2 linked regions of the Nothobranchius furzeri genome follow. The protein of the gene in region 2 purifies or fractionates together with the protein of the main gene of each other region. This does not show direct contact. Links are inferred from orthologs where the notes say so. Each region holds a gene or a part of one and is shown on either strand. Other genes may lie near its edges.

Evidence for each region.
Region 1: the proteins of psmd1 (region 2) and psme1 fractionate together in Homo sapiens (co-fractionation; 3 studies listed by BioGRID, with this or other methods). This does not show direct contact. The link is inferred for Nothobranchius furzeri from reciprocal best matches to the Homo sapiens genes PSMD1 and PSME1.

The regions. Positions count from the first base shown.
Region 1 is NC_091747.1:42,055,439-42,059,868, forward strand, and holds the start of psme1 (proteasome activator complex subunit 1), read right to left. Parts: upstream 2,825-4,430; 5' UTR 2,599-2,824; coding exon 2,560-2,598; intron 2,316-2,559; coding exon 2,283-2,315; intron 2,210-2,282; coding exon 2,147-2,209; intron 2,056-2,146; coding exon 1,954-2,055; intron 1,452-1,953; coding exon 1,394-1,451; intron 1,237-1,393; coding exon 1,139-1,236; intron 1,054-1,138; coding exon 985-1,053; intron 904-984; coding exon 836-903; intron 644-835; coding exon 589-643; intron 490-588; coding exon 403-489; intron 26-402; coding exon 1-25. UniProt on the Homo sapiens protein: Implicated in immunoproteasome assembly and required for efficient antigen processing. The PA28 activator complex enhances the generation of class I binding peptides by altering the cleavage pattern of the proteasome.
Region 2 is NC_091748.1:61,518,373-61,522,019, reverse strand, and holds part of psmd1 (26S proteasome non-ATPase regulatory subunit 1), read right to left. Parts: intron 2,981-3,647; coding exon of another isoform or gene 2,737-2,980; exon of another isoform or gene 2,543-2,736; intron 1,010-2,542; coding exon 895-1,009; intron 1-894. Other genes in the region: htr2b (5-hydroxytryptamine receptor 2B), read left to right, coding at 2,737-2,980.

The DNA of each region.
Region 1 (4,430 bases), on a different chromosome or scaffold from region 2:
TGTTGATGATGTCGAACAGCGCGGCCTGGAGAGACAAGGACCAGACGGACAGACTCGTGAGGGCGGTTGTTAGATTCCCAAAAGATTCAGCACAAGATCCAAGACAGAGGGGGTAACACACCCCCTCCTCCTCCACCCAGCAACCCCTTTCATCCTGGGCTGAGAAGCCTTGCCCATTAACAGCATCAAACACGAGGGGACAATGGCCACAGGGACCTGACACTCTGATTAATGGACTGCATATGGAGCAGTAATCAATTTAACACAAGCAAGGCTATTACTTTAATTACCCGCCCACCTCCATGACACCCTATTAATGAAGCAGGGATAGCATTTAGCCGTGGTTGACGCTGGGAAACAGCTGGAATCGTTTACATCCAAACCATGGAGGAGGAGCCTTACGTAGGTGTTGCGGATGTCCAAGACCACAAGGCGGAGCTCGCAGTACTGGTACTGGTCCAGCTCATGGACCAGCTGTCTGTAGTCTCCCTGCAGCAGTTTTACACAAACATCACCATTTCAGGGTAGCGTTCACAATCAACACTTGTGTTAGGATGAAGATAACCATGGTGGATGTGGGATACTGACCACATGGGGCTGTTTGGAGGCCTTGGCCACAGCGTCGCCCCTCTCACTGTAATACCTGCAACAATAAACAAGGAACGACTCAATCACAACCGCTCGTTGCTGTTTGTTACCATTTAGCGCCAGAACTACAACAAACCGATGAGCACAAGAAGTCATTCGCTAAAGGGGCAACAGCAATCCCAAACGAGGACCAGAGACCTGACCTGGTCCACCTGTTTAGCTTCAGCTGAAGGGTGCAGGGTCTTACTTTGAAATCTGAGTCTGGAATGCTTCGATCTTGGTGCGTGTGTTGGTCAGCAGCTCAAACACTTTCTCCTGTTTACCGAAAATAAACGTTTAAAAATCAGATTCATGTCAGAGCTGTGGGGTTTCATCACATTCTCAGCTGTTACCAACCTGCACCGCCACCCCAAAGTTATTACCATCTTCAATTCTAGGGATCTGGAGCTGCACCCACATGGACACCTGCCAGAAGGACACCAGTCTTTGGTAACTAGAGGCTTCCTAAAGATAAGTGATCCGTTCACACGTTAACCTAAGGCTGACTGACCGTGTTCAGCTTCTCCCTCAGAGTCTGAATCTCAGGTTTGACCTCCTTCAGGAGGCTCTCCACTCGCTCGTTGCTGTAGATGGGCCCACATGGAGGTCCTGGAGGAAAAACAACCCCAACATGGTCACAGTATCTAATAAAATTCCTTCTAACAAAACCTGAGTATAGTTTTATTCCTGGGAGTGAATGAATGAATATGCAGCTATTTTTAGACGCTGTTAATCAGCCGCCATCTTGATCAGAACTGTCACTTACCTGCATCCTCCTCCTCTTTTTCACTGTCCTTGTCCTTCTTTCCCTCCTTAGCCTCCTTCTGCAGCACGAGAACAAAGAGAGTCATGTCAGACGCTTTAAATGGCGTTAATCTGTTTGGTTCATTTAATAAGCACCTCCTTTGTTGTCTTTGCATAAGAAATAGGGTTTATTTAAAAAAGCATTCCAACCTAAAGCCTTTACTGCAGGCTGCAGCAAACCCCGATCACTTTCAGACATTCTCCGGATTAGATTAGATTCTGAACATTTTCCAGTGTGCAACCCCATCAGGAGACTGAGGAGCATCACGAGGCCCACACACTGTCAGTTTGTTAAACAGCACTTGGAAATTACACAGTGATTGGCTGCCATGGTAACTAAGGACTCGTTTCAGCAGTGCCAACCCACAATAAAACCCTAAATATATACACTGAGCTGAGGACCCCAGTTTAGAGGCTCCACTCAACCCTGAAGAAGGTTGAATACCAGGAGCCTGTTGCATTTATGATCACGGTTACTGCTGGACAGGCTGTATTAAGAGACCCCTGGAGTGTGGGACGAACCTCCTCCTTCTTCTTGCGCCTAGCCTCCTCTTTAGCTGGATCTGGTATAGGGATGTCCAGCGGAGCCTTTATGGAGGCCAGGTCCTCGCAGTTGAAAGATGTCTGACACAAACACAACAGCAACTCCACAGCTGTCAGAGCTCTATCTGGGTTGTTTTAAATAACTGTTGATCTGAAACGATCAGCTTCGTACCTTCAGTAACATCTGGAGCTGTTCAAGCTTCTCTGGGAAAAACTTTGACAGCAGCTCCTCTGCCTGAAACAAAAACATGAGTTTATAGACCTACTAAGATAACAAAAATTAAATCTATGTACACAAAAAAAGTTACCTCCTTGGAGAGCTTCTGGCAGAAGTCATCCACCTAAAATAAAATAAAATTCATGAGCAGCAGCGGAACCCCATTTTATTTTGAAACTCGCGATATTTTGAGCTTTTATTTTGGCAGGAGTACAGGCCTTGCAGCCAACCTGAGTCCTGACCCCTGACCTCAGCCCTGCTGTGGGTCTGCTAATCAAACACCCGTGAGCTGCTCACACCCGCCAAGTGTTCAGGGCAAAGTGGTTTCGACGCGGTTTTGGTACAGGAAACAAAGAAACCGAGCTCACCTGCTTCTTCGATTCGAAGCCAATCCCCAAAGACGCCATGTCGACTCTGCTGGTCAAAAACAAACTTATTTAATAAGTTTAACGGTAATAAAATGATGCAGGAGCAGAAGAAAGAAGAGCGTAAGACTCTGTAACTCGACACTGAGAAATGGACGCAGTTACTCAGCATTAAAACAGAAAATGAAAGTATTTTGTGACAGTTCCGTACTTTCCCCAGACCTGCCGCCATGCATTGTGGGATGTGTAGTTTTAAACCCAGCTCTGAATTCACGATGCGTTTAGCCCTATAGAAAAAGACACATGAATAATTTAATTGACTTTCATTGAAGGTGGACATCTACTCAAGTAAAGGGAGCATCAAAGAGCAGCAAGACCATTAATTTAATTATGGCAGCAGTCATTCCTACTGAATCACACACATTCACCAGCTGAGGGATGTACGCACAATACGTACAAGCAAAAGCATTTTTGTGCTCACTGCTGTGTTTTTGTATATCCCTTTGGCTCTTATAATGCAGTTTATGTAATGTTTTCCCCTTGGTGTGAATTTTTGGGTGAATTACCCTAAAATGTGTCAAAAGTGTCCCCTTTCCCATTTAACACAACGCTGGCATCATTCCATCGTACTTCCTTCGTCATTTATTGGCTCTCATAATAATAATATGAGTATTTACATAATTTCGTTAACCGCTCCGCTTTGGGTTTCCAGACCGTTCACAGATTAAATGTTTAGTTTTTACTGTTTTCCACTAGGTGGCGTACTTTCTCATAATGGGGCAGGGCAGTGACTGAAACTGCATTGAATTTAAGTCCATAAACTGGTCTAAATAAATAAATAAATAATATAAAGGCCAGTTTTGTGCCAAGTAGGTTGTTAAAAGATGAAAAATATGCTTTCATCATTGGTAGTTTGGTTAAATAAACCTAAATTAAATCCACTAGACCATTGTGTTTAATTCTGGGCTTGGAGGGCCGCATCCAGCACGTTTTGGTTTTAACTGTTTCAACACACCTGATTTCAATCAGCAGGTGATTAACAGGTTTTTGCAGAGCCTGATGAGCTACTGCACAGGCGATTCAGCCACTGAATTGAGTGTGATGGAGCAGGAAAACCACTAAAACATGCAGGAGAGCGGCTCTCCAGACCAAGAATTGAATACCCTTGTACTATACAGATATTTGTATTTTTGTATTAATATTTAAGAGTTTGATTCCCATCTCAACAGAGCTGTGAGAGCAGACAACAACGCCCCGGTGCATAACTTGGTCAGGGAGACCCAAACAATACCCACTGACATAGCCTAGAATCTGCATGGCCCGCCAGGCTACCACTGATGGGAAAGAAAGTTGGGAAATCTGGAAAATTTTACGTTCAGATTCTAAACAAATAATTCTAATTTATAAATATTTGACCACTGATCCTAAATATAAACACGTTCTTTGAGTTCTGTTTATTTGTTTTTATATATTTAAATTTAAATATAACATTGAGAGCTAGTATGCAGAAAATATATATTTTTAATTTCCCCCCAGTGGACGCTCTAGTTTTAATTATGTCCATGACCACTAGAGGGTAATGTTGTGCCGACTGGAGTCAATAGAAGACCTGTAGTAGACCTACAGGATGCAGGTAAATATTAACAGCCTCTGTACAAACTCAGGGACATTATTGTGTTTGCTTTATGGTTTGCTTTTGTAGTCCAACTCATATTGTTTTTATGTGAAGCAGATTTCACCCATGTATTAAACCCGTGGGGATAATTTAAGACTAGAGATGTCAGGATGTCAGTGGAAGATGGTGAACATCTTCATGTCAGCATCTGTAGTTGAACTCAGTATTGAGCTGCCAGAGGGTCTCTCTCTTTCATCAG
Region 2 (3,647 bases):
TTATGTTGAAAATTAAAAGCAGCAAGCCATATTTAACCAGTTAATTTAGAGTTTTTTTAATGCCTAAATAAAAACAGATCACCTGATATGACTGGACTGTAATATACCTCTCCATTCACAGGCTGAAATGTTTACGTTGGAGCACAAGTTCAGTATTTTTTCCCTCAACAAGTTCTTGCTTTTCTTCTTTTGGTTATAAAACAAACATCAGCCCAGTAAACGTTTTACTGGACTGATGTCGCAAAGAAACACTCCCAGTAAATAGCGGATTGAGTTCACCATCACCCTCGCCGTCTTCTAATGTCCTTGAGGTATTGTTTTGGAAAACAACAACACTTAGAGCAGCACTGGAGCTGCTCGGAGGCTTAAGGTGCAGCGAGCCACATCGGCCTGGACAACTTAGGAACTGGCAGCAGCCCCAACATTCGCCGTTTTCACACATGTGAATGAGCCTGAACACATGGACAGAGTAAAGCCCCCGATGACTGAGAGCCATCTTGGATCATTTTATTGGCTAATCTGCAATCCTTCCCTTATTAAAAATTACAGTAAATCCTAATGGATTAGAAGAAATTAGATGAGAGAATTTCTTACTAAATGCTCCAATTGCTGTAGAACTCAAATATTAGCCAAATGGCTAAAATAATTCTACCGTAAGGAGGCAACTCTTTAGTTTTACAGATGAACCATTAAACAGCTGCTGAGTGGAGCAGCCTTCATTCAGCAAATGTGATCTTTGATGCACAGGTTGTACCAGGAGGAGGAAAAAAGCACACAGCTAAAATGCAGTTAATATTTATTTTATCTTTTAGAAACAAAAGCTCGTCAAAAAGGACAACGATGATCAAATGGTTTGACTTGAAGAAAGAGGATGTTGTGATGGCAGGCTCTCACCTTGTTGCCTGTTCCGGCGCAGCAGATGCCCAGAGCCATGGCGGCTCCGCAGCGCACGTGAGGGTTGTAGCTCTCCGACAGAAGTGACACCACACTGGGGCACTGCTCCGGAGTCCTGCAGAGGCACGATGAGAGGATGAATATGGAGGACTGAGTGAGGACACTGGACATGAAGAGTCAAAGACATTTTCAGTCTTTAACTCAATTAGACACAGACTCTAGAGGTGCACAGACCAAAAGACAACAGTATCAGACATACGAGCAACCCTTTAACACAACCTTCACTAGATCTGTTATGAACCGATTCTGTATTTGCACAAAAACAACAACGTAGGTTGTGGATTGTCCTGTGTGTCATCTTTTATCAATGGGCATGTTCTCAATCATTTCAGCACTTGTTAAAACACAAATTCTTGGTTTCAGTGGAAACACGCATAAAAGAGTGTCTGTTTAGCAAAAGAAAGAAGCTTGGAGTCTAAAAATCTAAGAGGTAAAGTTCCTGTCTGACTGTAACAGCGTGCATCATATCTGAGAGTACTGACACAAAGCTGACTGTGTTGGATTTTGTTAGCCCAGAAGTCTGATTTCACTGGGAGAAAAAGGAAAAAGCTGTGCAGTACAGTCATCACACAAAAGGGTACCCCCCTTAAACCACTGCTGCACCAGTATAACTGCTTGTTTCAAGAGGGGGGGGGGTCGTCTAAACAGTGGGACAGCCGTGTTGAAAGGAATTACCTCCCTAAGCCACTGGCATGTGTCCAGCAAGAGGACATTCATCTGTTTTGTATAGAGTTTGACTTGCAAAACGAAAAGGGAAGGTGGGGGGAGACAACGACTGACACAAGAGGAGAGTGAGCCGACTGCAGGCAGTAAGAAAGAACCAGTGAGTAGGAATGAGAGCGAGGCGGAGGGGCCACAGCATCTGAAAGTTTTAAACCTGTCCTGCAAAGCAAGACCTTGTTCTAATTCGCTCCAGCGTGTGGAGCTAACCCCACCCCATGGATTACTAGACGTAGCTGCTGCAGGAGGTGATTCAGTCACATCACATTCTTACCTTAGGAGCTTCGGAGTAGAGCAACGTGGACTCTGAAGAGCACCGGCGCCGAGCTGCATGGCTGTCTGGACTGAGCAGCCAGGAAAGATACTCGGGAATTTACAAGTCAGAGAACTTCAGACAATAAAACCCCGACAAGAAGGTAAGAAACCAACTCTTTAAGGTTCAGAACTGTTCCGACTCTCACACAACCACACAACTCTGTGTGAGCGGAAGAACGGGAGCACCGAGAATTATTCTGAGCATTTCTAGTTACAAACGCCTCACAACATCATCTGTAGAAGCAAGTGGGCCATTATTAATTCTTTGTTATAGCCGAGAGATTTACTAGAGAAACGAAAGGCCTCTAGGTTAATGTTTATTACATCACTCTTAAGACAAATGAAATCAGGTAACAGCATCAGCATTTCCTAAACAGACATTTCTCCTTCTTACACACAGATGACTGGAGTATGAGCAACGTGGGAATGTGAGGTCTCCAGCTACGGGTCGCCAAGGAAGTATGACTTGCTGTGGGATTATTCTAGCTTTGGACTTATTAGATCTTCTTATTTTCGTGCCTCTCAAGCAGTGACTATCTGAGAGTGTCAGCTGTTGGTTTTGATTTGTATTCTTTGCTGGAGATGATGCGTCTCATGCACACGCCTTGAGTGGTCCCGCCATACCCTTCGCCATTGCCCGTGGGACCCAGTGACCATGCTGACCGAGAGTCCAAAACCAGAAAGATCAGAGCCTCCACCCACGCTCAGGCCCGCTGGGATCTCAGCAGCAACACGCCCCTGCCAGTCATGGCGCATTTCAACAACAGTTTGCACGCAGGCGAAGCGCCTGAGATTCAGCTGAAATGGGCCGCCCTGCTCATCGTCATGGTTATTATCCCCACCGTCGGAGGAAATATCCTGGTCATTCTTGCTGTGTCGCTGGAAAGGAAGTTGCAGAATGCCACCAACTACTTTCTGATGTCACTGGCTGTGGCTGATCTGCTGGTGGGACTTCTGGTGATGCCCCTCGCACTCATCACGGTTCTCTACAGTAAGTTCAGCAGGAGGGCCTTGTGTTTCATGCAGCGATACGATGTTCTATCTCTAAACATCTACAATACCAAACCTCAGATGTTCGATACTACAGAAAGAAGTTCTGCTTAAACTGAACCTTTATTTTTGATGGTTTTAATCACATTTGATTCATATGAGATCTTACTTTGCTTAACGTGTCCAATTCCCCTCCCAAATTCCAACTTGACGTTACATTTTAACTTCTATAAGGACCTAAAGCCGTTTACCATCACTGGTCAGGTTGGTCAGGTTACACAATATAATAAATGCATTCAAGTACATTAGAAAAGGATCCCAATTTTTGAGACAAGCTACATATAATCATGACCACTTGTTAAATTATTACAATATAACTGTATAAATAAATGCCTCCTTCTGGCCCGGCTGACCCAGCAGCTGCAGAGCCAACCGAGGGTTAGAACACATGGGCAGAAAAGAGCCAACTAATTTATTTAATCCCTCTAATTGTGCAAACTAAATACAGCTGCACAGGAAATAATTTACACTTCTGTTCCCAGTGTTCGAATACGACTACGAAACTCAGGGTGACGCTGAAGCCCTTACTCTTCATTAATTCGATTGTAGGATAATGAGCCAGATAGTAATTATGTCTCTCACACAAGAGTGGAGGATAGAGCAGCACA